2 linked regions of the Styela clava genome follow. Each later gene encodes a partner of the first gene's protein in a complex. Links are inferred from orthologs where the notes say so. Each region holds a gene or a part of one and is shown in the gene's direction. Other genes may lie near its edges. The genes, in order: COP9 signalosome complex subunit 7b-like and COP9 signalosome complex subunit 5-like.

What was found.
Region 2: COP9 signalosome complex subunit 7b-like (region 1) and COP9 signalosome complex subunit 5-like share a complex: the UniProt entries of both Drosophila melanogaster proteins name them as parts of the CSN complex. The link is inferred for Styela clava from reciprocal best matches to the Drosophila melanogaster genes CSN7 and CSN5.

Annotation. Positions count from the first base shown.
Region 1 is NC_135257.1:10,601,329-10,617,873, forward strand, and holds COP9 signalosome complex subunit 7b-like, read left to right. Parts: upstream 1-10,007; 5' UTR 10,008-10,060; coding exon 10,061-10,939; 3' UTR 10,940-11,630; downstream 11,631-16,545. Other genes in the region: flap endonuclease GEN homolog 1-like, read right to left, coding at 308-424, 631-791; nonsense-mediated mRNA decay factor SMG5-like, read left to right, coding at 11,819-11,901, 12,443-12,535, 13,132-13,261, 13,892-14,055, 14,363-14,571, 15,478-15,643, 16,102-16,230, 16,479-16,545. UniProt on the Drosophila melanogaster protein: Component of the COP9 signalosome complex (CSN), a complex involved in various cellular and developmental processes.
Region 2 is NC_135257.1:21,450,992-21,468,777, reverse strand, and holds the start of COP9 signalosome complex subunit 5-like, read left to right. Parts: upstream 1-8,204; 5' UTR 8,205-8,319; coding exon 8,320-8,357; intron 8,358-10,116; coding exon 10,117-10,201; intron 10,202-10,962; coding exon 10,963-11,130; intron 11,131-11,714; coding exon 11,715-11,864; intron 11,865-13,123; coding exon 13,124-13,202; intron 13,203-13,839; coding exon 13,840-13,955; intron 13,956-14,687; coding exon 14,688-14,770; intron 14,771-15,787; coding exon 15,788-15,902; intron 15,903-16,659; coding exon 16,660-16,811; intron 16,812-17,786. Other genes in the region: transmembrane protein 65-like, read left to right, coding at 429-496, 924-978, 3,482-3,524, 4,497-4,602, 5,443-5,529. UniProt on the Drosophila melanogaster protein: Probable protease subunit of the COP9 signalosome complex (CSN), a complex involved in various cellular and developmental processes.

The DNA of each region.
Region 1 (16,545 bases):
TTTCTTAAACTGGGCACTCTGCAACTCTAAGAGGCCCAGAGTGGTGTTCTGGTGGTCACAAGCAAAAGACCTTTAGCTTTCCGAATGCATGGACTTGGATGATAGAGGGAGCAGTTATAGACCAGCAGATACATGAGCCACCCTGCGATGGAAAGAGCTCAACAATTTCTGAATTTATCGAATTTTCCTCAAGATCAACAAAAACATAGCATCAATGAGTGCTTGTTCGAAGCTTGTTTAATGAGAAGGCTATGTATTAACTAGTAAATATATCATCGCAAATGTGACTCACTGTCAAAGACTATACCTTGTTCCAAGTCTCTTTGATATTGTTTCCCTTTTCAACTCTGGAGCTTTACCATCCAAAACAAATACAAGATTTATATCAAGTCTCAGGATACTGCTCACACGAAAAAATAGGTTTCTGCAAAAAATTGCTAATTTTATTGGATATCATGCTACAGTGCTAACGAATGTGATACAAACCATGGGGTGTCCTTTAAAAGGTTTATTTGTTTGAGATACAAATTGCACCAATAAAACAGTAATTTATTACTGCATGAAGAATTGTCAACAGAAAATGAATATAGCCTAGGCAATTACTTCGCAATATTCATAGCATTAACTCACCTCAGGTATGGTCGTGTTACATAGCTATGCATTTGCTTTACTCCTTCCGATTCACAAATCCAAGTTGCAAGATCTACTGCTAATGTTTGTCCCTTTATTTGCTCCAGAGTAACATCTTGCTTAACGTCTCTCAAAACTTCCCATAGTTTGGTCACTCCCATTGCAGCATTGCAATAAAACTAAAACGCCAGAACGGTTACCGGTATTGGACTGAACCTATAGCTGTATAGACTACAAATATCTGAAATATATTACAGTGTATATTACTTCAGTTTTTCTGTCATTTAAAATGGATTAGGCCTATATTATTGCAGGATAATACAATGAGCTAACAATTGCATATCTTTATATGGTATTCGTGACCACAATTTGTGCGTTTGCTTTGGTTTGCACGGACAAAACCAAGTGCAGTTTCAAGTATTTTGTGGAGTCTCGAGCTCCCGCAAAACCATGGCGGGATTTCCAAACCATGGCCGCTATGACCAAACCCACGGCGACTAACTTTTTAGCTGCTACAGTAATGCTGGTAATCAAGTTATTCGTATTCCAATATACAATTTTGTAACTTTTCGTACATGCAAGATGCAAATACAAGCATATGCACATGATCACGGTTGTTAATGCCTACCGGTAAAGTATTACAAATCATTCAATCAAATCGTTTTTATTATCCGTTCAGGAAAAGCAGATAAAGAGATGCGTCTGGTCGTCTTAAATCCATTTTGGAGCTGGACCTGTACATTGTATTCCTACGTTGTACCGTAAATATATACTACTACGGTTGTACTACACCATATTACTCTGATATTCTCAGCAATTATTCAACCAATGTATTTCAAATTTTCAGTTATTGAGAAAAGAAAGAAGTCGCTAGAAAACAATTAATTTAATTTCGTTTGAAACCCGATAGTCGACCCAAGTTTGGTAACATGCAAAGTCGAAAGTATATTAAGTACAAGTATAAGTTTATTTCGACTCCATAATAAGCAATAGACGATAAAATAATAGATAAAAACAAAAATAAAAGTAACTGATAATAGAATCGGGAAAGCGAACAAAACCTCGAGTAAGGTTTGAAACGTACAGATTTTAGATGGAAAGGTATTGATGAAATAAGTAGTACGTGTTAAGTATAAGTATAAGTTTATTTCGACTCCATAATCAGCAAAACAATAAAATGAATGCTAAAAATAAATAAATAAAAACTGATTATGAAATCAGGAGAGCGAACAAAACCTTAGATAAGGTTTAAAACGTACAGAATGTATATAAGATGGAAGGTTTTGCCAAGAAGATGTGGTACGTGTTCACTCACCTAAAATAATTGAAATATTTCACACACGCTCACACGCACCCACACACACAACCATATAGAAGTTATTAAGTAAAGGGAACATGAAAAATTACATACTGGTAGTTAATAAAAAATAAATAAATAAAAATTACTTGCCACACCATATTAATAAATTTATCATGATTGCCACTGCCAAATTGATCAATTTTATAAATGGGAGTGAACAGTAAAGATAAACTTTTATAAAAAAATATATTGTCAAGCTGATTATAGATGGAGTCAAATGCCAAAATGCCCAACCAAAGTTGCCAGAATTGGGTGCATGAAGAGGTGGGCTAGACCACTTCATTGCCCAAACTAGAGCCTATTATTGCCAAATTGTAGTCCAGATTGCAATAAGTATTTAAATCTATCAGTAACTTTATAAGTATGAGTAATTATAATTAATTAAGGTAGAAAGACAGGGTATAGGAATATGTTGGTTGCTAAGGTTATAAGGTTTTTTTTTTCATTCTTAGATATTGACTTCTGCAAGGATAAAGGAATTAGGAATAAAGGAATTAGTATTGTTATTTCACAGGATCATTTCTTCATTTAATTATTATGGCGTAATAGGTTCAAGTTTATCGTGGATGAGACATCAGCCTGCGAATTTTGTTGTTGTAGACACCATTTATATTCAATAAACTAGCCATTGTATTGATCATCACAGAACGACCTGAAAAACAGAAAACAAATCTGCGAGTAGGATATTCAAGGGTTACATATTTGGAAACAGCACTACCCTACACTTTTGTTTAGAATTAATTATTATTTCGAGTAGATATTGATTATTAGTTATCTATCTATAAAACGCTAGTTCAAAGACCAGAGTTGAAATATGGTTGGGACACAGGGTGAATTCCTCGCAAACCATGCAGAAACTCTCAAACCACACTGACCATTCGTATGTTGGCCTTCACATCAACTTCACAGCAGAACCTCAACCTAGGATAAAATTTTGTATACACACAAAACAAATCATAGAATACCACAACAAATTAAAATGAAGGGGAGAATCCAATATATCTCCACTGGTCGCCTAATTACAATAATAGGTACAGGAGCTAAACTATACGGTCTACAACCCTCATAAGGTATCACACCACCCATATAGAAACAAAGATCATGCATGTGTAATGTCAAAAATCCAACGTTAAGCAAAAAGGGAACATGCGCATGCAGATGTCAGAGTGTAAACAGCCATTTGAAAAATAAATAATTTGCTGTGCATGCTACAGAACCCGACACACCAACAATAGATGTAGAACAGGTGGAGAGAGATTAACTGCCGGCTCAACAACAATCAGCAGCTGCAGGAGCAATAGCAATATTGTAGCTGTTTAATATTTTCATGAAAATAAGTATGTGCAAGTGAAGAGTGTCCCAACTTTCTATCATGGTCATTCATGAAGGTTCAATATTTTTTGTGTCCGAGCTATCAAAACGTTGTAGCTAATTTCATACGAAAGAGTATATATATCAGTGTGGTTATGGGAAAATAACTTTTAATATTTGGATACCAAGTACGACTTAACTTGTTTCTGAAATGATTTTTTGGATTTTAATGACTTCAAATTCAAGGGGAGAGAGTTCCATAGCTTAGGTCCATTATAGCATAGGGCATGCTGGCTCACAGATTTACTCATAAACGGTATAAATAAATTGGAATTACTTCTTCGATTGGAGGTGGTTTTGGTTAGTATGTCGTCAAAGCAGTTTGACAATGAGTTGTCATGAAAATCATAAACTAATGATAATACTTCAAATTTCATTATGTCTTCAACCTTGAGTATATTTAGCGATTTATAGAAATGATTTACGCTTTCACGTTTACTTTTCCTAAAGACAATTCTTAAAAAATTATTACAAATGCTTTGCAATTTCGAGACAAGTGTTTTATTACCATGGAGCCAGACTGAGCTACAATATCGGATATGACTTAGTAGTAGAGATTGAAACATTGCTAGTAAAGCTGATTGATTAACGCACTGGGATACTTTAGCAGCAACTGCCAAGTTCCTTTTTGTTTTACCAATAACATGCAACATTTGTGATTTCCATGATAGATTTTCATCAAAGATAACTCCTAGAAATTTTATTTCTTTCACTCTTTCAATTTCATTGTCATTGAGCAGTAGTGGTTTTGAACAACTCACACTTTTATGCTTGCTTGGGTGGAATAATACAAATTTAGTTTTGTTAGCATTAAGAGATAATTTGTTAACCAACATCCAGCTATGAATGTTGGTTAGTTCTTGGTTTGCAACTGTGAGTAGATCTTCAAGGTTTTTCCCATGAAGAATCAAGTCAGTGTCATCAGCAAACATGATCGACTCAGAGGATTTCAGACACCTGGACATGTCATTAATGTAAGCTAGAAAAAATAATGGGCCAAGTAAAGATCCTTGTGGAACTCCGTGCTTCATGACACAAATATTTGTAGAGAATGAGTTGTCATATTGCACAATTTGTTTCCTGTCTTGCAGGTAGCTCCTGATCCAATTGAATGGGACGCCTCTAATTCCATAGTGATAGAGCTTACTTAAAAGGATGGAATGGTCAATGGTGTCGAAAGCTTTTGAAATATCAAGAAATATTCCAATTGCATGTTGTTTGCTTTCAAAGGCCTTGGTCAGTTTGTGTACCAAAACATTAGCAGCCATAGCAGTGGAGTGATGCTTGCGGAAACCAAATTGATGAGAGTGGAAAACATTGTTAGTTTCAAAGAAGTTTGACATTCTACTATACATTATTTTCTCAAGAATCTTAGAAAATGATGGTAAAAGACTAATAGGTCTATAATTTCCAAGATCTGAAACACTACCCTTTTTAAATAGAGGAAGAACTTTAGATGTCTTGAAGCTTTCAATGAATAACCCACTAGATAGTGAAAGATTAAATATATATGTCAGGATGTCAATGATATGTTCTGGAACGTGTTTCAATACTTTGAATGGAATACCATCAATTCCAAAACTTGACTTGGGCTTCATTTCGCGTATAATATTTTTTATTTCTAATGATGTAGTTGGCCTTAAAAACATGGATGAGGATTCTTGCTTTCCAAGATATGAAATGTAATTTTTGTCACAGCCAGCTGGTTGTGGCATACAGTCGAGCAGGGTTTGTGCCACTTGGGAAAAGTGTTCATTAAATTTATTTGCAATTTGTGTATTACTGCAATCGAGTCCAATCAAAGGACAAGAACCTGTTTTATTTTTACCAATAAGTTCATTAATTGTTTTCCATACTGCCTTGATGTTACCTTTGTGAGAGGCAAATTTAGATTTGTAATAATTTGATTTCTTTTTGTAGAGCAATCGAGTATAAAGGTTCCTGCATTCATTGAACTGTAATTTGTGCTTGTCATTTATGTTTTTATTGTTTATTAATTTCTTATAAAGTTTTTGTTTGACTTTGTTTAGTTTACGTAACTCAGTATCATACCAAGGTTTGTTTGATCTGTTTGTTTGTTTTTTGTAAGGAAAAGATTGAGAGTAAGCAGTAGAGAATTTTTCAAAAAATTTTTCAAAGCAAGTGTTGGGATCCTGGATGCTGCTGAAGTCATCAATATCAATAGAATTCAGTTCGTTCATAAAAGTATTCAAGTTGGACGAAGTAAACTGGCGGTAAAGCGTTTCAATTCTGTTCTGAATTTGCTTTTCTAGAAGAGAGCATTGTACAATTGGCAGATGATCAGAAACACATTCTGCTAAAACAGCACTATTAACTTTTTTATCATATACGTTTGTCCAAATGTGGTCTATACAGGTAGCAGAACTTGAAGTTATCCTGGTGGGGCAGTTTATCAGAGAATAATAGGCCAGGTTGTGCATAATATCAACAAATAGGCTGGTATTCATATTGGACTCATCAATAAGATTATAGTTGAAGTCACCCATTATATAATTATAATTCAACTTGTTCATCTTTGAGAGAACTTGGGACAAGAGATTCCGAAAGTTAGCATTGTTCAATTCATCAGTTAGTGGTGATCTATAAATAGTACCGCAGGTTATTGTTTTATTTTCCAATAATATGTCAATAAATATAGATTCGAAAACCTTTTCACACATTATAGTAATATCCTTGCGGACAATGTATTTCAAATCATTTCGAATGTAGAGACCAACACCACCACCTCGGTGATGAAATCTACTGTTAGTGATAAAAACATAGCCATCCAATGTATTGAAATGGCCATTTGTACCAGATACAATCCATGTTTCATTTACAGCAATTACATGCGGCTTACAATTCAGTGAATTCACTAGTGCTTCAAATTTTGTGTAGTTTTTGAAAGAGGCTAAAGATCTGATATTGAGTGAAAGAGTCATGAAACCACTTAGTTTAAAACTATCATTGAATTTGAGATCATTGACATCACTAGAGCAAATATACTGATTTGAGCTGTTGTACATGAAAACACTGTTTATGTTGTTGAATTCATCATTGTCAGTATTGGCTGACTCAAGAAACATTTGGTTTAGGTATTCAGGATCAAGAATTTTAGTAAGTGCCTGGGCTTCAGCTTTTTCTGAATGAAGGGAAGTACATGATTCTAATAATTCAGAATCAGAGAGAGAAGAGAATGGTATGCAATCTTTTTCACAAAAGAAACAGCACCAAGGCAGATCATCAGCTTCAGATTGCAGGTTTTCATACTGCTGGTTAGAGATATTGGTGCATTTTAAATGTATCCAATGTGAGCAAATGTTGCAAAGAATAGCTTTCTGATTAGTTCGGACTGATTTGTGGCAATTTCTACAGGGATATTTTAAATTATGTTTCATGGTGGTGGCAAAGTAATGAAATAAAAAAATAAAAAAAGTATAGTGAAGTAAGACAAAATCTAAAATACAAAGCTTGAATACAAAGTTTCCAGGTGCAGAACTTATGGTTAAATAAGTACTAGCCTAATTAGCATAAGGAAAATAAGGGTGAAAATAAATTGAGTTAAATTAAATTATATTATCAACCCTGTGCTAAAGGCCACCACTATACCAATGAGACCAAGTTGCAAACAGTGTGCCTATTTGCTAGGTCCCATTGGGCGAGCAGCAGCCCTGGAGTACAGGGGACGAGAGAGAGTAGTGATATCATTCAAACAAGATATAACTCGCCTTCTGTCCAAGTAAGCGTATATAGTCCCATTCATTGTCGACACCTTATGCTTCCCGAATGCTTCCTTGGCAGCGGCGAGGAGCTTGAGCCTATTCCGGGTCAAGGACTCCGTGATGGACAAACCGCTGCCTTTTAGATCTTTCTTCCTACCATATATTAAATTTTTTGTCGATCTTCGGACAAATTTAATAATGATGGGGTTCTTCGGGGACTTGGATCGCAATTTATGGGTTATATCAATATCCGTGTTAACAATAGGCTGGTCAAGATTGAAGTTATTGTTCAGGGTGTTAACAACAAAGTCTTCAAACTTGTAGTACTCAGATTCTGGAACAGATTTGCAGCCATGAAGAACAACACAGTTCCTCCGGCTGTACTGTTCCTGATCATCTTGCTGTTTTTCACATAACTCCAGTCTTTTTATAATCTCCTCGATCTTAAGAGAGATTTGAGCCACATCATGCTGGAACTTCTTAACAGCTTCAGACTTGCTGCCATGGTCTTCAGTGGCAGACAGCTCATCTGAGCGTTGCATGAGCGCTTTTTGGTTGGCCTGGAGGGATGTAACAGCAGCCAGAATCTGGTTATGAACTTCGGTATTCATATTGATTTTCCGTGGAGTTTCGAGTTGAACAGGTAATTATTTCAGCAGAATCCAATGTAGTATTATGATCAGAAAGGTATATTCCGTTTGTTGATATAATCGAAGGTAGCAGGCTTTAGTACTTAAGTTAACCAAAGATTAAACTATCATCTGCAAACTTAATCAAATAGCGAATAATCGCTCACCCTAAGTAGAGTCTAAGAACAATGATGAAAGAGTTGCAAGTGATCATTGACAAGCTAAAAGGCTCATAACGTACAGGGCATTAGAAACAGGGAGGTCGCATTAGGAATGAAGCGTTACCAGCATTGAGAGCGCGTTATCAGCTCAGTATGTGCAATACGTGGTCGCGATCATTGAGCTCAATGATTCTTCGCCGTCTTGTGGCGTCGACAGCGCCATCTTATTATAATTTAACAATCGGAGATTCGCCAAGCCTTACAGCAAAAGAAATTGTAAAATACACGATACCTATATTTTTGTGTGGATATTTCATATTTATTTTTCTTTGCAATTGTATACCGATACCTGGATATCTTTATGTATCTTAGTTACTTAAAGAAAATAAATGGCAGATACGGAAACATGGATAAAAATGTGATGGAAACGTGATTAAAAAATACAGAAATATACAACTGGCAGAATGCAAAAATGGAAGATTTTCAAGTGAATTATACACGCAAGCATGAAGTTAAGTTCAAACAAAATTAAGCTTGTACTAATCTTTTTATAAACAGGACTGGTTGTGCATAATTTCAACTACACTGTTGTATAATATTTGCAAGTGCAGTTTCAAGTATTTTGTGGCGTCTACAGCTGCCGCAAAACCATGGCGGGATTTCCAAACCACGGCCACTAAGACCAAACCCACGGCGACTGACTTTTTAGCTGCCACAAACCAATAGCGAGCTGCCGTGGTTACGGCAGCAAATCGAATACCACCAATTTTACTGCCGTAACCACGGCAGGTCGGCTGTAATAGCAGGGCTGCCCCTAATCTGCTGATGGTGATAAATATTTGGTGAGTTGGAATGTTTTTCTTATGGATACAGTTTGGATGTATTTGGGGTTAGGGTTAGAGTTTAAGTAGATATAATTTCGCATGATAAACTAAAATATGGTACATGAATTTGTAAATATACCGGTAATAGCGCCATAAAACCATGGCAGGAGACGGCGTGGTACGTTCGTGGCAGGAGCTGCCATGAAGTGGTAAGAACTGCGCCTCAATATTTGAGAACTCACAATCGTTCTTACAGTTTTGTAGCTGTGTCTGTGTGGACGTTTTACTAAAACCTTCGGTCGATATTACAGATAGCTGGATAGTACAATCAGATGATAATCACTGCATAGCCTATATTTTTGATGTGACATGCATTCATACTTTATTCTAGAAATTTTCTCGATTCTTGATTTACATTTATTCGGGAATTTTTTTCAATATTTGTTCACATGCCACCTCGATTATCACACACAGCAGCTACTCAGTTCACAGTTTAATTTTAAAATGAATCGCATGTAATGGGATTACAAAATGAAATGTCTGAGTAAAGACCACCATCAATATTTATGTTAATCTGTTAAGGTTTGTGATTTTTTTTTTTCTTTGGTGGTTGAAATTGTTTGATATGTTTTAAACTTAATATTAGATTATGTTTGTATGTGCACTTCCCAGGTCCTCTGCCCTCATCTTCTGGATTTTGGTATTTTGTGAATAAATTGAAATAAAATCTTTCTATCAATCATTTACCCAAAATTGGAATTGAAATACAAATAATTCAAATTCGCTTGTGTATAGAAAAAAATTAAAAAAAAATAAATAATGAATTCCACTGTAATTCAATTAGAACAATAGTTAGAATTAATTGTAATCTGTGCCTAGATTCTAAATTTCTGAAATTGGAGTGCCAATTCTGGAAATGAATTTCATGTTTCATTATTTATTTGTAGGAGAGGAAAATCCATTAGACACCTAATCTTATCAAAAACCAGGCAGCAAGCGAGAGAAAACTTTGTAAATAATGACATAGCTCTGTATAGCTACATTTATTATCTGTATGTATATGATTGGAAATTATAGATATGAGCATTTAAGGATAGTATTCACACCAGAGTTTGAAATCATCATGGTTGACCAGTCTGTTGACATAAATTAAAACACCATACTAACACAGGCTGATAAATAATGAATATTTAACCTACATGGGAAAGGAAATATTATTTTAATAAGGCAATAGAAAAACATTCAAAATAAAGAGAAATATAGGGAAAGGCAACGCACTAAAAATATCTTATTATTTCGGTTTTTCTAGCTTATTTATATCTGTAATGATCTAGTCTTCATTGGTTTTGATTGTTCCAGTAAGATGTCTGAAATGGTTCTGAAGAAGGAGTTCGTCACTGGAAATTCCACCAAAGTTACTGCTGGGACGTTCAACACAAATCAACAGTTGGAGCAGTTCTTGATTCTTGCTAAAACTGCCAAAGGTTCAGCTTTGAAAGAATTGATTAAGCAAGCAATGGAAGCAAGAGATGTTTATTTCTTTGGTGAATTACTTGAAATCCCTGCAATTCAGGCTTTGGAGCAAGATCCAACAGCGCAGACATACTTTTCACTGCTTAAAATTTTTGCATATGGCATATTTAAAGACTATCTGGCTGATAAAGATACATTACCAGAATTAACACCTATGATGACAGATAAATTAAGGCATTTGACTGTCGCAACATTGGCTACAAAATTCAAATATCTTCCTTATTCGACTCTTCTTGAAGAACTAGCTATGTCGAATACAAGACAGCTTGAAGATTTACTGATTTCTGCAATCTACTCCAACGTAATTCGTGGCAAACTTGATCAACAGAATTCTCGTCTTGAAGTTGACTGGACAATTGGACGTGATATTCGACCAGCTGATTTGGATAATATAACAATGACATTGGAATCATGGTGCAATGCGTGTGGTACTATGTTACAAGGAATTCAGACTCAAGTAAAATCTTCAAATATATTTTTAGAAGAAGATCAAAAAAGAAAACAACAGATTGAACAAGAAGTAACAAATATAAGAAAAACTATCAAAGCTGCATCAGGACAGCAAGAAATGGAACTTACTTCGAGTGACAAAAATTTGTCATCCCACCCAATGCCATCTGCAGGGGTTGAAAACAAACCTAAAAAGTCTAAGGTCAAAGGACTCAGGGGTAGTCAAGCGGTTAATAAGCTATGGTCATCGAAAAACTGACATGATATTTTTTCATTACTAAATTCTATGTTTCAATCAAATGATAGCATTTTAATGGTTTCAATGTAATTTATTCCGTTTAATATAAGTTCAAAGTTTAGGAAAGCGCCAGCTGTATTATATTTCAAATCACAATATTTGTTGAAACTATCACAGTTTAAACAATGTTTTTTGCACAAATGCTAAAGCTTTACAACTGAAGCTGAATTAGTCAAAAAATGGTTATCATTACCAATTATCAAAATTTTATATGAAATCATTAGTTAGAATTGCCAAGTATTCACTCGATGTATATCAATATAAAACGTTGTGGTAAGTATCCCCTCATCTATATTGCAGTATAAATGTATTTCGGGATTTGCAACAGACTATATATTAATTCATTAGACTCAAAAATGATGTTTATATCAAATATTATTTTGAAATTTTAACATAAAACACAAGTTCTTCGGCCAGACTAATTAATTTACTGGGAAAATTAGTAATTTTGAATATTTTGACAGATTTTCATGTTTCAATTAGCTAGTATGTTGAATTGGCACTACCAATTGTTTGTCAGTTATTCGATATATATGTTTCAGTTCCAGAGTGTTTTTTTGAGCTTCAAGTATTTTGGTCAGAGTGTTTCTGTGTTAACTGGTGATAATATGTTAAATGCATTTTCTGTTTTCTTTTATTTTTTACATAGAAATATTGTTGTTATACAATAAACGAGAGAAATATAGTGAACAAAAATTAATATTGCTAGCATGCGTGAAGTGGAGAGAATATCAACAACAATGAAGCAAAACAATTTTTAACATTTACTGACAAGATTTGTTGAGATCAAACAAACAGAATGGAGTGAAATAACTGTGAAGAGGCAGATATAAAAACAGGATGTCACGACATTCAACAGATACTAGAACATCTTCAAAAACTGTTACAGATATTAAGAATATACCAGCCAGGAGACTTTACAGGTAAAATACTAGAAATATTATCATATTAGTTTTAACTAGTTTGGAAATGTAATTATTTACTCAACTAGTGTTTCATTCATATTCAATGTTTCTTTTTTCTGAGACGTTTCTAACAATAAATTTTATTTTGTTGTCGTTGTTACCTGTCTGTGATCTTTGTTCCCTAAGCATTCACTGAAATTCATAAATTACACCAAGTTGTCTTGCTATTTGGGTTTTCTAATGTCATCCCTTTTAAACATTATTGTTTTAATAAATATACTTGGTCAATTAATCATAAGTATGCCAATTTCATCAGTTTCTATTATGTACTGTTTGCTCGACTTACTGAGTTGTATGCCAAAGAGTGTCAACTACATTTTAAGGCAGCGTTATAACATTTTAGTGATTTATTAATGTAAATAACTGAGATGCTGTGCGATTTTATTTATTGTTATATTTTATATCCTGGATAATTTACAGTTGTGCTGGCCTTGTTATATTGACATGTGTTTTCTATATACATTGAGTGGTTTAACCATTATTATTATTTTTTATTCAGAGGTGTTTTGGAGTATGCACGCAGGTTAGAAAATGGTCGACAACACAGGAGGAATTTAATGAGTGTTTTTCAGTCGGAGCAAGTTGGCTTAAGGTAATGGATACAAATCAAATTTTTTATTTCACCAGAATATGTTTCTCTTCTAATGTTTACTGTGTACACCAACAACCAACATTGAAGCTCTATATTGTCTTAAGTAAATCATTAATGCCTATGAATGTGTATCGGAATCCTTTTTAAAATGCAATGCAATACTATGCAGTATTCAAGTCTATCATCACACACATAATAGGTTTTTGTCAATCAATTATCTCAGAAGGTGTCTCAGTCTTATGTTATAGCTCCTTAGCCAAGTTTATCAACTCTAAAGTTATTTGCCAAATAATTATTCAACAAAGCTTTATCATGTCATATATTGTAAAGAGAAGCACTGCAGTGACATAATCTCCACCAATAGGTCAATGTAGTTCATAAGGATCGGCAAGAGGGAAAAATGTCAGATTGCTATTCACTTGGTGACAAATACAATTTGTTTTGAAAAGAAGAAAATTTTGTGCAGTCAAATATATTTTCCCATTCAAGAAATTGCAGGAAATGTATATAACAGTATTTGAAATACCCACTCTTGAGATGCCGTATTTTTGTTACACATTCTCGTTTAACTGTTTACTCAATTTATTCAATCCTAGACATAAACTCCGAGATGCATGTGAAAAACTCATGTTCTCACATCCCATAGAATATGGCCGAAAAGCCGAAGAGTTGATTTGGAGAAAAGTATATTATGAGGTTATTCAACTTGTCAAAAGCAATAAGAAGGTAAGCTTTATTAATGTTTACGTTGACACTGGTATAGAATTTAGATAATTTGACAACCAGATTTTAAATTTAAGTAGAGTCTAGCATCTGGATATTTGTCTTTCATTACTGAGAAAAAATACTTTGGTAATTTTCTTTAGGCTTGTTGAAAATTCTTGCATCAAATTTTCAAAAAATTTAACCAAGCTTAGACTTACAGTACCGGTACTTAGACAAGCCGTATAGAGCAATCACAGCCTTGTGTGAAATATCTCAGTATTATTAATTTTGATGTTTTAGCTCTATTATGTTCTTTTATATGCGAGAAAGATTGCTACAATATAAATTAAGTTTGTTAGTCGCTTTGTTACTGTGTAATCTTATGCCAAATTTATAACAAGGCCAGCAGTAATAGTGTGATGGGTACTTTTTGCAGTAAAGTGTCAAATTACGCATCCACGCTCTTTTATGCAAATTTAGTCACGAGATAGTATGATTCTTAGCTATCAATTGAGGGTTGCAACTTGCAAGCAACAAAATGGCATTCTGTCTATTATTTTTTTAACTATTTTTTTTTTATTAATTATGTTGTTCAAGCTTTTTTGTCACAAATCAGTGAAATCGACATCGACTCATATAACATATTTTCAGTTCATGAAATCTGGTAGTAGATTGGAACTTTTATATAAAGAGTACTTGTCAGCAGCAATTGGATATTATCATCATCTATTACTAAAACTACAAGCAAAGTATCAACCGCATATTGCCGTCGATTGGCCATTTGCAAGCAGTCCTCTGAGTGATAAATATAAAAGGTTTGTATGGTAAATAAGTTACGGTGATAATAAATGAAAGCAGTTCTTAGAACTTGGTCAAATAAAAATCATTTACGAACACAATGCACATACCTTCAAACATAAAAAATGGTAGTGTAAGGCAAGGAAAAAAAAGTGTTCAAGATTTTCTGTTTGATGGGGATGCAATAACATTTCTTTTCCAATATGGCCTGGTTCTCTTTGTTCATTCGAATTTGAAGTTGATTTAAATCTGAATTACCCATAATTATGAACACTATCATATAATAAAGTTAATATTTAACTCCAAATTCATTCTTGTTTGCAGAAGGAGGGAAGTCACCATTTTATCAGCAAAACAAGTCAATGAACCATCAACGGACAAAGATGTTTCAAAAATAAAAAAAGTAAAATCTCATACTATTCTGAGCAAAAAATCAAAAAATGCTGATAGAGATGCTCCAGAAAAAGTTATGACAATTGATGAATGGGCCCAGGAAACATCGTACCGAATCCTCCTATGTCTTGGTGATCTAGGTTGGTTTTTTCTTCTCTTTGATGAATGAGTTTTGGATTTCTGTATTGATCTGTTTGCAACTAAAAGTGAATCAGAATTGTTTTGTTGTTTTGGTATTTTTATATACTATAAAGTAAATATGTCTCCTAGCCATGCCCGTAGCAATCCAAGCTGACTCCTTATCTGTTACATCTATGTAAAATTCAATTTGAGTGTTGATTTAATGTTTTGTGCTTGAAATATAGTTGAAGTGTGTTTTATTTCACATCTTTGTAACTTTTTATAACCTACAGTAATTCTTTGGGTGCGATTGCCTGGTAGTTAAAAGCTTTGAGCTTGGCTATGTTGGCATCTCCGGTTAAAAATATGTGCTTCAAATTCCTTGCCCATCACCTCACCCAAGGTCAAATAAATTGAGAAGGTCATAAGTTTTCAAAGTGCTCCATAATGGAGCCTCAGGGATCTGTGGGATAAACCTAGGGGGTAGGGGCTCCGTGAGATATTTGTTTATTTATTAAAATACTGACTTGGCAATTTCGTAACTATCCAAAGAAGCAATAAATACATCCGCATCATTAAATAAAGTAATTTTAATCTACTCAGGAACATCAATGGTAAAAATCAATGTGTTATAAATTTATTGTGGGGCTTCGGAGATATTAGTCAACAGCACAGGCACATGCTCCATAACACCAAAAGTTCGAAAACCCCTGGAGTAGGTAATGCCGAACAGGATAGATGGAAGATGACGTCTTGTGAGCAGTGACTTTTGTGTGTGTAGAGCCTTGTGCATATGGAAGACCTAAAAAAATGGGAATTTATATCAATTCGAGGGAGCTTAATTTTAAATTATTCTATGTGACTGATAGTAGAAAAACAAACATTTTTCTGCTCTTCAGTAGTTTAAGAATTTCTCTTTTTAATAGGTCGATATCTAGTGGAGCACGGAGGTTCAAGATCTTTTGCTGAAAGATTTTATCAGCTCGCACTGCTGGTGAAACCAAATATTGGTATGCCATTCAACCAACTCGGCACATTGGCTGGTCATCATACATGGTGGGGATTGACTGCAGCCTACTATTATTACAGATGGTATGTTAGACTGGTTATAAACATTACAATTTGATTTTATCTATATGCAGTTATTTAGCATGGTCCTTCTATGTTTCTTTATGTGCCTTGTATATATGAGTATTAAAAGAATATTTATGGAAAATTGATGATCAAGGTAGATAATTTTTACATTCTTCTACTTCTTGAATTAACCATGTAACTCAAGGCTTACACTTAGTTTTCGGTGATATCTTCGTAGTTGAGCGACTCAATAGTTGCACCTTATCAATTCAGTAATCAACCAAAAAATTTGAGTCAGAAATGCTGCTGTACTTGAACTAATATTCGAAGCTCGAACACCTGGGCAAAAAAGGTTTCGGTCCTCTAACAAATGGTAGTTGAACACCAATCCTGAACGAATTATGTTCGACTACCGAGGTATCATTGTATTACTGTTCCATTCATTCAATTCCACGCCTATATGACTTCATTTACAGTTTGGAAGCTGAAAATAGATTTGATGGTGCTGATGGAAATTTACAAAAACTTCTTGATCGTAACAAGAAAAATTTCTATCAAATACCAACTGATGCATTGGAAAACATGATCAGTTCTGAAGAATACAGGTTATTAGCACGGTTGCTTTATTTGACTTCTTACGAAAATCAATCCTGATGACCAGGCCTCTCTTTTGACATTAGTAAATTGTTACATCATAATAAACATTGAATATTATCAGAATATATGAATTTCGAATGAATATATGAATTAATGTATTAATTGAAAAGGAACATTACTCAAAATAATCACATATAGGATGCATTTTATTAATATAGCAAAGAATAATTTAGTCAACTTTAAAATTGTATTTCAGAAAAGAGCACACCAGAATTTTCATCATATCGTTTTTATATTTGTGTGATTTGTTACGACCAAAAACC
Region 2 (17,786 bases), about 11 Mb from region 1:
TCGTTAGAATATTTGGATAAACCCTGTAAACCAGTAGGACATGGCGTCTATATTTTAATCAATAACACATAGAACAAAATTAGTCAAAATAGTTGGCTCTCCTGAAGTATGTGAACCAAGATGGCGGACACCGAAACGTAGTATGTGTGCCAGGTTAGGGTTAGGCTATAATTTCATTCCAATTTTCCTTATTTTAGTTCTATTACGAGTTCGGGGACTAGCCAGGTGACTCTCATAGTATATGTACATGAAATTATGGCCTAACCCTAACCTGGTACACATACTAGGTACCGGTGTCCGCCATCATAGTTCACATGCTACGGGAGTACAAAGTAGTTAGGGCCAACACCCTTATTATGAGACTATCATGTCATGTCCACTGCTAGATGAGTCACCCCAATAATCAGCCGTAAATTCTTGTGTTTCAGTTTTCGTTCACAACTGTATCCCGTTTATTGGTTTTGGATTTCTCGATAATGCAATCATGATACTGGCGGTAATTTATTTTGTTTTGTTGGTTCGAGGGGCCTAATTGAGCCAGTTTTGTCAAATATCTTTTTAATTAGTTCGTGTTCAGCAAAGATATTGTGAATTCATAGATATTTGATTTGAAATAAACCTTGAGATTATCAAATTTTCAAATGCAAAGTTCCAAGATTTCAAATGCTTGAAAGCTATTTTTCCTGTTGGCAATAAGTAATTTTATTGTTTGAACAAAAATAATTCATCAGAAAAAATCATACGGCGCTGAATTACTAGAAACATCTTTTAGTCAGTTAATTGTTGATCTATTCAGACCAATTAATTCTGTTAAAACCGCCTTAATCCAGTTACGACCATTCTCACTTTAGTTCACTCCCATGAGACACTTTTTTGTTAAAATAATTGGATTCTTCACTGAATTAACTTTCTTTGTTTTCCAGGGGGAATACATTGACCTGACTATTGGCGTTACCTTAGGGATTTCTACAATGGCAGGTGGGGATGGATGATTTATAATTATTGTAAAGTGGATCCATAATGTGTCCAAAAAATCTCAGATGAGAAATTTTCTGTGCCTGGCAAAATACTTTCTTACTTTCCCCTCCACATTAAGATCTTTTCTTATGATTTCATTATTTCAAGTTGTGTGTGAGTGTGTGTGTGTAACCTCGCTTCGAAAAAACATGCTTTTATATTATTGTGGTTAGATAAAATGCCTGCTTCACTATCACAAGACACAGAACAGAAATCCATAAAATACACTGGTGTGAAACTGTGGAATGCCTTACCAAGTAGCCTACCATTAAATCTTTAGGCTATTACGGTTTTAAATTATATCTAAAAAGTAAATATATTAGTTATTATCTCTCTTCCATCAGCCATTGATTGGAGTATTCAGTATGATTCGCCATCTTCTGTCCATAGCCCAGTAGTCGCATTTGTAGACTGTCGCCATGGCTGCCCAAAAAGCCGGAGGAACTATAGGTGTAAGGAGTCTATTTCTAAAGTACCCGGTACTTTAACTTTACCAACCTTGGTGCAACCTCTACACTAAAATGCCCAAATTCGTTATATTTCAATTTCTTGAGCAAGCATATGCCTACCATTCTTTCGTAAATTTTATGCCCACTTGCTGTGGAGCGTATTGTATATAAATATATATACATATCAACGTTTTATGATTTATTAAAGCTTACCAACTTCTATTCAATTAATCACTTACAATTTTGTCTTTGGTGTAACCATTTTCCCCTCGCTTGTCGTTTGTCTTTTATGTAACTTATATACATTTATCCAAATATGCCTTTTTTATAAATTTATACTTGAGTTGTTTTTCTTTTTTTTTCTCTATTATATGATTTTAGTAAAGTTGCGTTTGCTGCGAATTTTTTCAATGATTCGTTTATCATAACGACTATTGCATAGTCAATGTTTGTAGCAAATGTAGTTATTTTTTTACACTGAACCAGTAACAGCGCTTTAGGTGTCGCTGCTTGAAGACCTAACAAGGTCCCTCGCGACTGTCGCACAAATAACATTATTATTATATTTATTTATTGTACCAATTTTTTGTGCATTTGATGTTTTTGTGACGACGAATAAATGATTGATTGATTGACAAGACAAACTAATAATTTTTAATATCTTATCAAGTATTATTGACAATATAATATTGGATATGTAGCCTACTCCCTAAAACCTCTGCACAGAATTCTTCTGGTTCCAAGATTTGTGTTAACATATATTGGATCAAACCAAGCTTGTTTTCCTGTGTAAATTCGCTCAAATTATTTTCACAAGCCTAGACAAAAATGTTGAGCAACACCATATGCAATGTGATATGCATTCAGTGGCATATCTAGGGCAGTCATGGCTCGTGCCACAGGTTTTTAGTTACCCCCGTAGTGTGTGCACCAGGTTAGGGTTAGATGTTCTGTTTGCTGTACTGCTTGTCCAGCTTCTGACAGATGTACGAGGTGGTGCACATGGGCATATCAAAGATTCCCAAACTTTTAAGCTTGCCACCCCTTCCAATATATTAAAATCTTCCACAACCCCTGATAATTCGGCATTGTTTTGCAAGCGTGCCACCTATCTGGTCCCATGTATTCTCTCGAAATCGTGAGATCTATGTTTTGCATTGGTTTTTATAATTATGCTTTGAATCAAAAGTCTAAAAGGTACAATAGACATAGTACTTTTGGTGAAATTGATGCTCTTTGCGATCCCTAAAATTCGTTGTTCACCTCACTGCAAGGTTGCAACTCCCAGTTTGGGAAGCCCTGACGAACATCAAAAAGAAAATTCATTTAAGTCAATTTATATTAAAGGAACAACTAGTTACCGGTAACTAATCACAAAATTGATGGCAACTGGATGAGAGTCTGTGGTCAGGTTCACACTATGAAAAAGCTGTTTTTATCAACTTTCCTCGTTTCCAGGATAAATGGCAAAATACCCCTCCACATTAAGATCTTTCATTATGATTTTATTATTTCAAGTTGTGTGATTTCTCTAACGAACTTAGTTTTAATGATCAACCATTTTCTTATTGATTGATTTGCCAATATATATTCAAATGATTGATGTCTATGGTTATCACTTATCATAAAGTAGATAATTATTGTTTTGATTGATTTTCCATTTTCACAGCTTTGTTGAATAATGTTTGATTTTTGTCTGGCCATCAGATGCTAAGTGCCCAATATGAATATATTTTCAAACAAAAGTATTCAAGTTTTGTTCTATATAAAACTAATATTTTACATCAAATATACCCGCTTTGGAATATTTTATGTTTTGGACACCCTGCTTTAAAAGAACAAACAAGAACAAAATGACAAGAATAATCAGGCATATAGTTCCGCCAAATTTATTTTTTTCAGCGGGTATATTATTTTGACAAACCCTTTTAAAATCTAATTGATTAGTCTAACGAACAAATTTTCATAGTTTCTGCTTGGTTAACCAAGTGTAAAATTTTGACAATTTTTTCCAGCTGCTGCGCTTGGAAACACTATATCAGACATTGCTGGGATCGGGTAAGAGCTTTATGTTGAAGAAATAAAATTTTGGAGCGACAAGTTCTTTGGCAATGATACTCTTTGCTCCAAAACAGAGGTTTTGAGGGCCACAATGCTAGGTGCAAAGCTGATTTTACTTATGCAAGATTCAATTTTTTGTCATTTATTTACTGGTCTTCTTTTTTCCTTAGTGGATGCATATAGCTGTTGTGATTGTCCAAAACTCTGCTAAGAGATGGGTCCTCTGTATTTCTGTGTGTGAGTGTATGTAGCGAAAAATTTTTAAAAACATGGTTCCATATTATTGTGACCAATATCACAAGACAAACTAATAAATCTCAATATCTTATCAAGTATTATTGACAATATAATATTGAACATATACTCTCTAAAACCTCTGCACAGAATTCTTCTGGTTCCAAGATTTGTATTAACATATATTGGATCAAACCAAGCTTGTTTTCCTGTGAAAATTCGCTCAAATTATTTTCACAAGTCTTGACAAAAATGGTGAGTAACACCATATGCAATGTGATATGCATTCAGTAGCATATCTAGGGCAGTCATGGCTTGTGCCACAGGTTTTTAGTTACCCCCGTAGTGTGTGAACTAGGTTAGGGTCAGGCAATAATTGTATAACGATTTTCCTTGTTTTAGTTCTATTACGAGTTGAGGGAATATCTGTGTTAGCCAAATGAATATACCCCCTGCTCATAGGTTTCAGTCCCTTTACACAACTTGACATAAAGTAGGCGAACTAAATTAATTACCTCCATATTGGTGCATACACTTCTGAAGCGCAGATTTTTATGCTCCATTGGTTACTTGCAACCCTCCCTCTATCAGTAATTTTTCAAATATTGCTGGAACGGTCGACCTCTTGCACTGAGCCAACCTGTATGAATAATGTGGCCTCTGCACAGGTTTATTATTGTGCGAGAAATATTAGTTAATACAGGGATAAACACGAAGCTTTTCTCTTTACTCTAGATTGGCTGGATATGTTGAAAGCCTCTTCTATAAACTTGGGTTGCCAGTACCTGCCTTAACACCGGAACAAGCAGAGCAGAATTCAACTATTTTTTCATCTAATGCGGTAAGTTTCTGTTTTTTTAGAATTAGTGTGAGTGGGTTCCGGATTTAAACATTTCACCCACCTGGGGCTGGGCATTTTTGAATACCTGAGGATTTCAGAATCACATAAATTTTTCAAAATGGAAAATGGAAATATTCGACTGTATGTGACTTTTTATTGTGATGGGCACATAATTTACTGAAAACTTTCATAGTTTCAGACAGTTTTAGAAACATGTTTCATTAATAACTCACTAAAGATAAAGGAGTCGGTAAAAGAGTAAAAATATGGCTTCAATAAAAAAAATTGAGGAATTCACCTCGACCTGTGTTGGTTTAAAAACAAGATGACGGCAATTTGAAATTCTTGCCTGGAGCAGTTGTTTTTAGAGCATTTTATAAATTTAATGATAGCAACTTCATCAAGATCAAATCTAAGGTTCTCTTCGCTACTATAACTATCAGTAGAAGTTACACAAGACTAACTTCCGACTAACCGACTCTTCCTCAACGCCCCTGCCCTAGTGGATCCCTATGCGTATATTGCAAGGATGCTGTAGCAGGAATAAACATGGCCATGCTATGCAATTCAAGAGTCCAGCTGCACATAAACACAAACGTATTTCTGTAACGTTTCGTTTGACCAAAATCAGACTTCTTCAGACAAGCAGTTTACACAGACGAAACCTTACAGAAATACATTCATGTTTGTGTGCAACAGGAATCTTGAATTGCTTGGTCTCTTCACTGGTATTGTTATTTATTTTAGTGACTGGGAAAAGTAAACCTGACTTCGACTTTACTATTTGGCCCTTTGGAATTGTTTTACTACATTATTACATAATAAGTTCTTCAATTTCAGGGCAAAGCATTTGGAATTTTGATCGGTTGTATAGTTGGAATGTTCCCACTGTTATTCATCGCTAAAGAAGAAAAGGAAGATGGATGACATCTTGAATAATTTTTCGAGTTTTATCAAAGCATTTGGCTTGAAATACAGTTACTTTTGAGCTGCTTGACTCGCGCCATTATTATTTTATTTGTTTCAGTAGCTCAGACCATTTCAGTCTGTAGAACTGTATGGTGATACAGACAAGCAATAAAAAGGCCTAATAATATTTAACATTATATCTGTATTGCATTCTATTGACTGGGATAAGTTTATGCTTTCTCATGCTTTAAATTTTTAACTTTTCGAGCTGCTTCTCCATTGCACCTGAGAAAGTATATTTAAATCTTTTTTTCTGTAATTGCCATATTTCTTCATTTAGAAATATTTTTGTTGTTTCCTTATTTTAACCAACATTTTTTTTTTTAAATCTTGTGTTAGTTTTTCAGTCATATAGTGTTCCTTTAGTTTTAAATGTATTCAGCTTTATTGCGATTTTCAGATATTTACATATTTATCCCGACTTATACATATTTAACCGACCAGCGGGTATGTGAACCACCCTACGGCGACGAGGAGTCTAGCAATCCTTTTGCACATAACCATCATCGCTTGGGATTCGAACATGCGGACCCACGCAGAGAAATCAGATCAAATGCTTAGCACAAGGAGCCACACTGCCGAGCCTGATTATACCGCTGGACGATAAATCGAAAAAAATATGCCTGAGATTCTAAATCAGTGTTTCACAAACTTTTTTTTATAAATTCCTCTCAAATTTTGGATCGATATATTCTCCCTCACAATGCTGAGGAACTCCATTTTCGTTCTATTCTAGAAATCTGTATTTGTAACTTTACTTTGAATCATATGTTGCTGCTGTTTTTAGTTGGTATTTTCTGTTGAATTTTGTTCATTTTATATATTTGAATAGTTAACAATATATATACATGTTGAATTTTTATAAGCTAGTGCTGTATTTTGTGAAAGTATGTACAAAGGTATGTACACAGTGTTATGAATAGCAAAGAAGGCGGCCTCGTTTGGGGCCTTGGGGGTGTTTTACGCATGTGCTCCAAACAAAGCTTGTAGACAGGCAGGTAATGAGCAAATAGACTAGGTTCTTTTCATGTAGTTTGGGTAACAATCCAACCTAATTTAAAGTCATTTTACCTTGGTGTTTCAGAATAGCAATATAACAAGAACGATTATGTAGGCGAGCACATTCTAAAAATTGAGCCAAAACATGTTGCTGCAGGGACGAGCACGGAAATATAGTACAGCAATATGAAAACTGATGGTTCGCATATACGATCTTCCTCACTAAATGTGTGTTTGTTTTTCTCAAAATGTAACGGCTTCATATAAATTTTACAAGAGAGATATGCTCAAATATACAGACACGTAGCGCCACATAATTTTGATGACGTCATGGCAAAAAATAAAAGTAATAGCCTTTTGGGGAAAATTCCATTTTCAACCACTGAAAATTTCAGAGCAATTGGTCCAGTAATCAAATAGAAAAGCGATTTCTCCGAAACGATACAAAGAACAACAATAACAAAACGATCGTTATGTCCATTTCGTGTCCAATAATTACAGAGACGAATGCAATGTAAATAAAAACCGCATGGTACGCTGTCACATGCAAACTTGAAGAAACGTAATTTTTCTCTCCGTTCTAGTTGCACGGCAAGTATATGGATAGGTCAGATATGTGACTTGATACGATTACGTACCAATGAAATTCGATCCGTGGCAGATTAGCCCAAGAGAAAGAGATATATTGCGACAAAAACGAAGTCAACACTATTATTATAAACAAAATACAATGTAGAAAATATTTCAGCAGTAATAACAGTGATTGATTCAAACCATCAAGTCCATGCTTCCGAAAACAAACAAGAGAGCTATGCTCAAATATATGGACACGTAGCGCCACCCAATGGCAATAACTTTGATGACGTCATAGCGAAAAAGTAATAGCCTTCTGGAGAAAAATTTTATCTTCAACAACTGAAAATTTCAAAGCAGTTGGTCCAGTATTCGAAGAGAAAAGCGACTTTTTGAAAACGTGTCAAAGAACAAGAACAACAACAACAACATAATATTGAAACGATCGTTATGTCCACTACGTGTCCAATAACTGGCCAACTAATCCCTTACCCGACCTGGAATGGTAACCGGACGAGAGGCCGTGGTTCGCCATATGATTAAGCCGTCTTATCGGCTTTCCTCTCCCCTGGGATAAATATGTAAATCCTATCATATTGTTTTGCGTGGGCCCAATTAAAGTGATCTGGGCTCCCGACCATTGTGATTTGTGTATGTATGCCCATATGCCTTGGACGAATTACCAGTTGAACCGTTTGAAGACGAGTTTGTCAAACGATTGGGCTTTTTTTTTGCCAAATTATGTTTCATTGCCAATGTGGAATTTTTCTATTGGGCTCTCTGGCCGGCGCTATCCTCTTTGGAGGTAAATTATTATAAAAATTAAATGTAAGGATGCGGGGTCAGTAATTTTAATATGACCTATGATCTTTGAACTCTTTGGCCTGTGAAATACATGTCACATAATCAGATGATACCATGTAAATATTAATCATATTTCATGTACACAAAGAATAAATTTCATTTTTGAAATAAAAATCATCTTACAACTTAAATACTTCATTATTGAAAACGTGGAAAAAAAGATTATTGATATTGTTATTCTTTATCAAACCTCGCACAACCAGCCCTTCTTTATTGTATCTGGCAACAGCAAAACCTCTGCATTTGGTAATCTTGTACTGGATCGACGAAGTCGTGTTTGCAAACGTAATTTGTATAAGTAATTCGACCACAATGTCGGACGAAAAACCTGGAACGTCATCAGAAGGGGGGTACGATTGCTTCTATTATCTTATTTATAAATGGATCTTCATTTTACATGCTTACTTGTGGAAATAACTGTAAAAGATGACTAATATTAGGTCTCTTTTGCGATGTGTTTTACCCGTTTTTCGTCCCATGTTGCATTTCGTCTTTGATTTTGCGTTCCAGATTGCTAAAATTTTCCATGATACGTATTGTGCTAAGCTTTGACTTGCAAGGAGAGATATTTTGACTTCAAAAATAGCAGAATAAGTCTTTGGTCATTAAGTTGTCATTACTCTGACGTACTACGGTTCAATGGTCCTTAGTTAGGAAGCAACTGAGCGAATATCATCCTTGACAGTGTCGAATTGTTTTTTGTCAACTTCCTGACATCCTTGTCTCAAGATTAAGCCCATGTACTGATATAGGGTGTGTTATAAAAGTCTGGTATTTAATTAGGTAAAAGGACTTTGATGTGCTTCATACAACTAATAATGGTGGACATATAAGGGTTTATAAATGAAGTGAAAGGAGCTTAAGTAAACACCGATTAAAATAAAACAATTCTGGTTGAGATATATTAACAACTGACTCATACGATCATAAGAATTGTTATAATAGTACTTCACCATCACCATGTTTGTACAGTAGGGGACAGTTTTCGGGTCTCCTGAAGTACACACCGCAAGTACTTCTAGCTGGCATGGCTCAACAATTTTTGCATATGTCATTCTTAACCCCCACCTGACTAGGTCATCCGAAAATTACATTGCAGTGACGTAATACGGCTCGACAAAGTATACGAATGGTCGCGCAGACAATCATCCGAAATCGAGTTTGGCTATTTCTCTCGTTTTCTTATCAAAACGATACCAATAAGAGAGAGATCGCTGACGTTAGTGACTGTTAGTTCATTATAGTCGGCACAGATGCCATTTCGGACGATTGTAGCTACTTTAGCAAGCTCTATGACGTGATTGTGACGGCGCAGTGATGTAATTTTTGGGTGCCATACTCAGGTTGGGGTTAGGAATATTATACTAATAAAATCGTTATGCTACGCCCACTAGATGTACTTGAGGGCGCGTACTTTAGGAGACTCCAGTTTTCCGAATCCAAGATGTCCCGACATTAAGTTCAATAAAACAAACTCAATTGCCCTTGAAACGAGGGCGTCTGGCATGACGGCAGATGCGTCAGATCGTGTCATGCTTGTCTCAATAGTAATCTAAATCAATCATGATATGTGTGGTGTGTCGGCCGTCACATAGCCAAAATTCCCGTTTTCTGCTGGGAACTCTTGTATGCTGCGATAAAATTTGTTTCCTCTTGTAAATTGGATAATTTTATTTTCAAGGAATCCAATGATGTCGTTTTCAGATTGCGCTCTCTTTTTGTTGCACAGTGCTAATTTTTGCCAGTATGGAGGCCCTGACTGTCTCATAAATCAGGTGTTTGCAATCACTGTTATGATTTATGTTTTTTAAGTAGGGGCTATTCTTGGAATCAGTGAACTGTGCTAAATCAATATATATTTACACCAAGTTCATTCATTCAAAACTAATAATCTGGTTTACTATTCCCTTATCTGGCATAGACTGGTAGCATGTCAAGGGCCCATGTTCTGCCATATCATTAAAGCGTTCTTTCCGTCTTTCCTCCCCTGGAGATGAATTTGAAAACTTCATCTTTTAACATGTTAGTGGTGACTTGCAACTGTTCTATCGCTATTCTCCTGACTTTTAGCTCTGAACAAATTCGTTGATAAATAAATTCTTGTCCTAGAGCTGCATCTACAAAGACAGACCAGCCTTTAAATTCGGGTTCTGCGATGGCTTTGAAGACTTGGGAAATGCAAAACAATATGGAAGTGAGCGCTTTTTTTTAATTACTATTAGAATAGGATAGGGGTAGAAAAAGTATAACACGACTTAACTATATGGCGAACCACGGTACTTCACTAATGGCAAATTTGTTATGAGTTATTTTAAAAATATTTTGTTGAATTGGTTAGTGCAAACTGGTTTATTTCTTCAAAATCATTGTTTTGCCACCAACTTTTTAACAGCTGTGCTGAAAGTACTGTAAGCTAAATTTAAATGCTTGTTCTATATATTCTATCCCTGCAAAAACAAGCCAATGTTATTAATCAGTATTCAGTGACAAGATATCTAAGAGATTGTCTAAATTTCAGTTTTGATGTTGCTGTTGACATCTTGCGAATGAAGCAATGTTTTTTTTGATATATTTGAATACCTCCACTCTGGACGGGGTTCTGCACAAACAGTCGGTTATGTGTGAAAAACTACCATCATTTGGAACGACCGAAACCGTTCTCTGGCAGCTTTGTGTACCAATTTATTAACCCCCTGGGTGAGGTGATGGGCCGAGATTAAAGTTTAAAGATTTGGATTCCTGAATATGGACATTTACAATTTTCATATTTTTCTGTATTGAAATATTGCCTTCGCTCTATACAAACAGCCAGAGATATGTGAAGAGCTACCATTATTTGGAAGAGCCGAAATCTTTGTTTCAGCTTGAATCAAGATTTTAATCTGCGAAGCTGTTCTAACACTTTAACTATGCCACCAGAGCTGGCGACACTAACTAATTCAAAAACATTTTTAGATTGTTCACTCAGTCGACGAAATCTACAAATACGAGCTGAAACAGCAACAAGAAATGTTAAATGCAAAACCATGGACAAAGGATCCGCATTATTTTAAAACCAGTAAAATATCTGCACTGGCTTTACTGAAGATGGTCATGCATGCCAGGTCAGGCAAGAATTTGGAGGTAAGTCTACATTTGCTGTTCTTGTGGCTTCAATGACCAAGATGACAGGTTGAATTCAGATTTGGACACAGATTCTGGAGCAATGTTAAGTTAGACTATAAGTCATATGTGTATTCGACACGTTTAAATTCAAATATACGGTACTTAAGTTCATTGTATTACTGACAGGGAATTAATCTCAATTCATGCAAAATTATTACTTGGACAACAAACCATAGAGATACCAATAGGTATTGTAAAACACAAAAGTTATATCCCTTCTAAAGGACACTTCCATCCAAAGGCAAAGCCAAGAATTTTCACAGGGGGGGGGGGGGGGGTTATGAAAATTCATCATTGTCAAATTAAACCAGCTAGCGGGAAACGTGGGGTTCCAAGAGTCTTTTTTTTAAAAATGGGGGGTTTCGACCCTCAACCCCCCTGGCTACTCGCCCATGATTACATCCTTTGTCACTGACGATTTGAAGGTCGAATGTTCTATTAGTTGACGACAAAAGCACTTTTTCGTCTTGACAACAGCAAATAGAATACCATCGATAAGAACAGTTCATGCACCCATCTCATGTCTTTTTTACACTATTTAGGTTATGGGTCTGATGCTCGGAAAGATAGATGGCCCAAACATGCTCGTGATGGATTGTTTTGCACTTCCTGTTGAGGGCACAGAGACACGGGTCAACGCACAAGCCGCTGCATACGAATACATGACAGCCTATGTTGATAATGCTAAACAGGTTTGTAACTGTGCTAAACCTGCTATATTAGATTGAAAATTTGTGATCATGGTCAAAGTCAGCGTTTTTCAAGAGCTTTTTTCACCACCCACTTGGCATTGCCAAATTTCTTTGCGACTTACGAGAAGGAACTAAAATAAAAAAAAAGTAAAATATAGGACCTCCTGAGGTATGTGCACCAAGATGGCGCACAACCTGAACTCTGGTTGTGTACCAGGTTAGGGTTCAGGTTATGCGACATCTTGCTGCACATACTTCAGTAGTACCAAAATTTAATATTACACAAAATTTAAAAAAAATACTGAACTTGACAAATTGTTAATGAGACTGATGTGTCAGCATATTCTTGCACAAAAGATTGAATCCCCGCTCAATTTCCGCGATGGTGGGTCTGTAACAAATTAACCAATAATTTTGGATGGATTATATCAATGCTAAATATAATTTCTGACGTCATAAAATATTATAAATTCTAGAGAGTTCTAGCAAAAGAATTCGACCTAAATATTGCACGCAAGTGAATAATTCTCATGTGATATGATGAATCACCCCTATTGTACATGGATTTTGCTAGAGGTATCGAGCAAAGACTGTTTGAAGTGTGAAACCTTATAAATATGATCTCATCAGCTAACAGCTAACAACTAACCTTAAGAGATAGAAGTGTAATTTGTTTATGCTGATTATTGTAATACATTGTCGGAAGAAATAAAATTGTACAGGTAAACCTCTCTGATCCTTGGCTGTTATATCAAATTAACAGAGATCTCAAACTCAACTGAACACGTAACCTATACTATATTCTGTGTGGAGTCACATTTATATATTTGACTAGTCAATTAGTAGTCAGGAAACAAAATTACGCTTCAGGTCTTAGTACAAATTCCAAATCTTTCAAATTTGATCAATATTTTAACATAAGTTGTTGTCGAAAAGGCATTTACTCATTTTTAAACTAACCGTCATTAAGCGGTTGCGCCACTTTGAAGTATCGTATCGTGTTCGTAAGCAGACTTTTTAGTATTTTCCTCTCCGAGTTATGTTTTTGTGGTATTGACGTGGTATCGTACATATTCTACGACGTATCTCGCATGCATTACGTCTTGTGCCTCACTGGACATCTATGTTTAATACAATAAAATTATTCGACACTCCGTATTCTATAAAATATATACTTCACATTTTATTCATTCCCAAAAAAGATGAAAATTTGAAAACACCATTGATAATAATTGCAATCTTATTCTTTCTCTTTCCAGGTTGGCAGACTGGAGAACGTGATCGGTTGGTATCATAGCCATCCAGGTTATGGTTGCTGGCTCTCTGGTATTGATGTTGGTAAGTTTTATATGGTACCTATGGGTCGGTGTTGGAAGAAGTCCCCAATTAGTCGATTGTGTTAATGACTTATATACTAGGAGTGCTTCATTTTTCATTTAGTATAGAATTACTGTTTTTCTCGTTAAATACTCTGGAGGCCCAATCCTGCCTGCTTGTGCCTGCTGAAATTTCGACTATAGTTTTTATGGATATAAATTTTCGTCGAAAATATTGATGAAAAGAAGGGGATCCCGAAGTATGCGAACCAAGATGGCGTACATCGGAATGTAATATGTGTACTAGGTTAGGGTTAGGCCATAATTTTAAGTATAAATACTACGGGAGGCTCTTGGCTAGTCTTCGATCTGATAATAGGACTAAAATAAGGAAAATTGGAAAAAAAATATCGCCTAACCCTAACCTGTTACCCATGTTACGTTCCAATGTCCGCCATCTTGGTTCGCATACTTCGGGAGCATCGAAAAGAATGTCATAATGACCCCAATTGTTACATCATGCTCTTATAAAAAAAACCTCCCACTCAGTAACCCATTCTAATATCTGAAATTGGCTCAGGAAGAGTAATTATCCCCCCAAAGGTCTATTAGTATCAGTTTTCCAAGAAATAATCTCTAATCTCAAATTTTTTTTTCAGATACCCAGATGTTGAATCAGCAATTCCAAGAACCATTTGTGGCGATAGTGATTGATCCAACACGGACTATCAGTGCTGGGAAAGTTAATATTGGAGCGTTCAGGACATACCCCAAGGTAAAGATATGATTTAAATTGTTTGGGCCATTTTTAATATGTTTCCTTAGAAGACGAGATCAAAACGTGAGATGTGTTAATATTGTCAACATAGGCGTTTATATTGGTATCTGCTTAAAAAGCATTGGTATATATAGCTGTTCAATATCGTCTGTTCTTAACCATCACGCCTAACCCTCCCATTTGAAGTGAAAAAATACCACTACCGAGATGTTGAATCAGCAATTCGAAGATCCGTTTGTAGCGATAGTAATTGACCCAACATGGACTATCAGTGCTGGGAAAGTTAATATTGGAGCGTTCAGGACATACCCTAAGGTAGAGCTATGATGTTCATGCTGGTTATGAATTAGACTCGGAAGACTAGAGCGTCGAAACGAGAAATGTATCAATATTGTCAATATAGGTGTTTATAAAGGTATCTGCTAAAAAACATTGGTATATTTAGCTGTTCAATATTGTCTGTTCTGAACTGCCACCGCACATTTAAAGTGAAAAAATCCCTTTTTCCCATTTTTGAAATGTAAAAAAAAAGCATTCTTCTGTATCTCACATAGCGATTTATTTGTAGCTTGAAATGTTTTTTTAAACCCAAGACTTTTTTAAAAACTCACATGCTAGCTGTCACGGTCCAACTGGGCAATTAGAAATTTTAGAACGTGGCCCTTTAACTAAGCCCATGGATGTTGCTACCATTCCCTATGGCCAAGCTGATTCACACTTTTGTTTCAGGGTTACAAACCACCAGATGAAGGCCCTGATGAATATCAAACAATTCCTCTCAGTAAGATTGAAGATTTTGGAGTTCATTGCAGGTGATGCCATTTGTGTATTGTTTCCTCAGAACAAGGCTAGTTGAGTGTTGAAAATGTGGGTCGAGATTTGAATTCTAGTCGAGTTAACACATATTCAGGCCTCATTCAATATTATTTTTTTGTACTTATCACATAGATTTACATATTTAATCAGGGGAAAGTAAAGCCGATAAGACGGATTAATCATATGGCGAACCATGACCTCTCATCTGGTTACCAGTACAGGTTGGGTATGGGATTAGTTGGTCAGTTATTTGTTTCATGGACTTTGTCCGATGTTGGAGGAAGCCATAACCGACCAGTGGTTACGTGAACCACCCTGCTGCGGCGAGCAGTACAGCAATCCTCTGGCACATATTTAACTCCGCACAGGATTCGACCCTGTGAACCCACGATGCACCGCCAAGCCACATCTACTGTTTTTACTGATTGAAGCTCAGTACAAAATTATGTCAGGATTTTCTGCAATCGAGGAGACAGACGTACATGTCCCTAGTGTGCCCCTAGAATCTAACAATGTTTCTGTCACAGAGTTTAATAAACAGCGTGGATTATGATAAATCAAGTAGCTAACAACTATTGTGAGGAGCTGACTTTGATGGCCGTATGGTCGTATCGCTCCCCCCCTGTCTATATCAAAAAACTTTGCGTATGTTTTTTTTTATTATTGTTACAATGTTCGTTTTTCCAGTTGACAAAAAATAAATCTCTCTCTCGTCTAAAAATAGTAGGTGGATAATTATCAGTGGTTCTCGAGTCTTTTTTGAGGCTTAGGTGTTGAAAAAACACAAAACGCAATATCTATTCATTGGTAGACCTGTCTATCTGAAAGTCTGGTTTGAAGTAAAAAGCGTTTCAGCCCAAGTTATACCCTTTTTAAAGGACACTCACATCTTTAGTGATGATTTGAAAGCCGCTGTTTTATTGTTTAACGACAAAAGCATCTTTTGTCCTGACATCAGCGAATAGGGTATTACCAATGTTCAACTAATAAATGTATAACCTTTTGCATTCCAGGCAATACTACTCTCTCGAGATCACATATTTCAAATCGTCATTGGATAAAAGATTGCTGGAAAGTTTGTGGAATAAATACTGGGTTTCTACGCTGAGCAGCTCAAGTTTGATTACAGTGAGTTATTTTTTTTTTAGATGAATATCATACCCAAAGACATAGTCAGAAATTTTCAAATAGGGGTTTTGAAATTTCTAATTAACCAGTTAGGTCGTAACAGCTAGCGATGGCTTGGTGAAGTCTTAAGAAGTGTTTTGAGCTATGAAAAATTGTTTTACATTTGAAAAGGGGGTTACAACCCTCAAACCCCCTCTCCCCCCTGGTTACACCCCACCCAGAGTGTAAAAATTCCGTTCTTTCAAGCTATAGTATTATACAATGTCTCTAAAAAGTTCCGCTCGATTGATTTTATAGTAATTACAATTGTTAGTTTAAATAAATTTTATTGTATGATAAATGAGAACTACAAGCACAATAACAACTATTAATATACAAAGAAATTTTTAATTGTTATTGAAATCATTTTAACACTGTTACATCATGCGCACTTGCACAGAAGTAAACTATATTGAGTACAGCCATAGAGATATCCAATTCTTTTTTTGTCATTTCATTTAATTTTTCATATTTTTGCATGGAGCGCCTTGTGTTTCAATGAATTTATTTCATGTCAATTGTCAACATCAAAAATCCACCTTGAAGAAAAAATTTTTTTGTAAGTTCTCGAATACTAGTTCATTTCGAGCCCTTTATTTAGATTTATTTTCCAAAGTATAGGGAATACATTTCAGGCTGCTTGTGAAGAGCCTAGTTTGGAGTGAGTTTTTGAATAATGGAAATTTATTTCATTTTGAGCTCTTTATTTCCTTCACAGAACAGGGAATACATGACTGGGCAAATATTTGATTTATCTGAGAAGTTGGAACAAGCGGAAACGCAGTTGTCACGCTCCAGTAGTTCTATTTACTCTTTTGATACGCATGACCGAAGAACAGAAGATAAACTTGCAAAAGCTGCAAAGGACAGGTAATACAGAATGTTCTATAAAATTTATTGCAATTTCATGGGTTGCTAGAACCGAATTATCTGTTATTTCTGGTGCACTCTAAAATGTTGGTGTTTGTCATTTCGAAGCGGCCTTTTTGAAGTTCTTTCATGGTTTTTGCAGGATTTTGGACGGTTTTCGCATGTTTGAGCAAGGTTTTTCACTGATTTGCACTTTTGAGCGAGGTTTTTTGTTGTTTTCAAATTTGAAAATGCTGGCAGTTACGATATATAGTGATTTTTGATTGGATAAGTTTTTCAAATGTAACTATCCTAAAGTAAAAATTCCCTGAACTCAAGAATTTGAAACAGGGATGTGCAACATTCTTCGTCGGTGGGCCACACAACCAACTTCAGACAACTGGCCGGGCCACACAAAAAATTTAGCGGGAAGGCAAGAGAAGAGAAGGCGACCTCGCATAGCCTTGCAGAAATTAATACATTGGCCAATCAACGAATTTTTAAACGCAGTGACAAGAACAACAAAAAAAAAACATTGTATTTTTATTCATGCTAGCACCTTTTAAACCAGGGGTGGCCAACCTTTCACATACCATGCGCCACGTTTTAAACATAATGTTTCAGATGCGCCGTAAATCTCTTGTATTCCCACGCCTAATGTCCGCTTCTTGTGTCCACTCATTTAGAGAATTACGGAATCACTGAATTAAACACTGAATGAATAAATTACAATGACAGCCGCATATATATAGTTAACTCAACGAAAATTCTCGTATCCACGCAAAAATTCGAGCAATTTACGATAAACAGATTACGATTGATTACGAAACAGGGAACCATTGTGACGCCATGCTTCAAGTAAAAACTACAGCCTTCCTGAAAGTAGGAGAAAAACGCACTCTGTCTTAGTTATGAGCATTACCCAATAAAGCTGTTTTTAACAACGAAGAGAAAAAGGTACGATTAAGAAGTAAAGTTAGGCGTAATATTGTGACA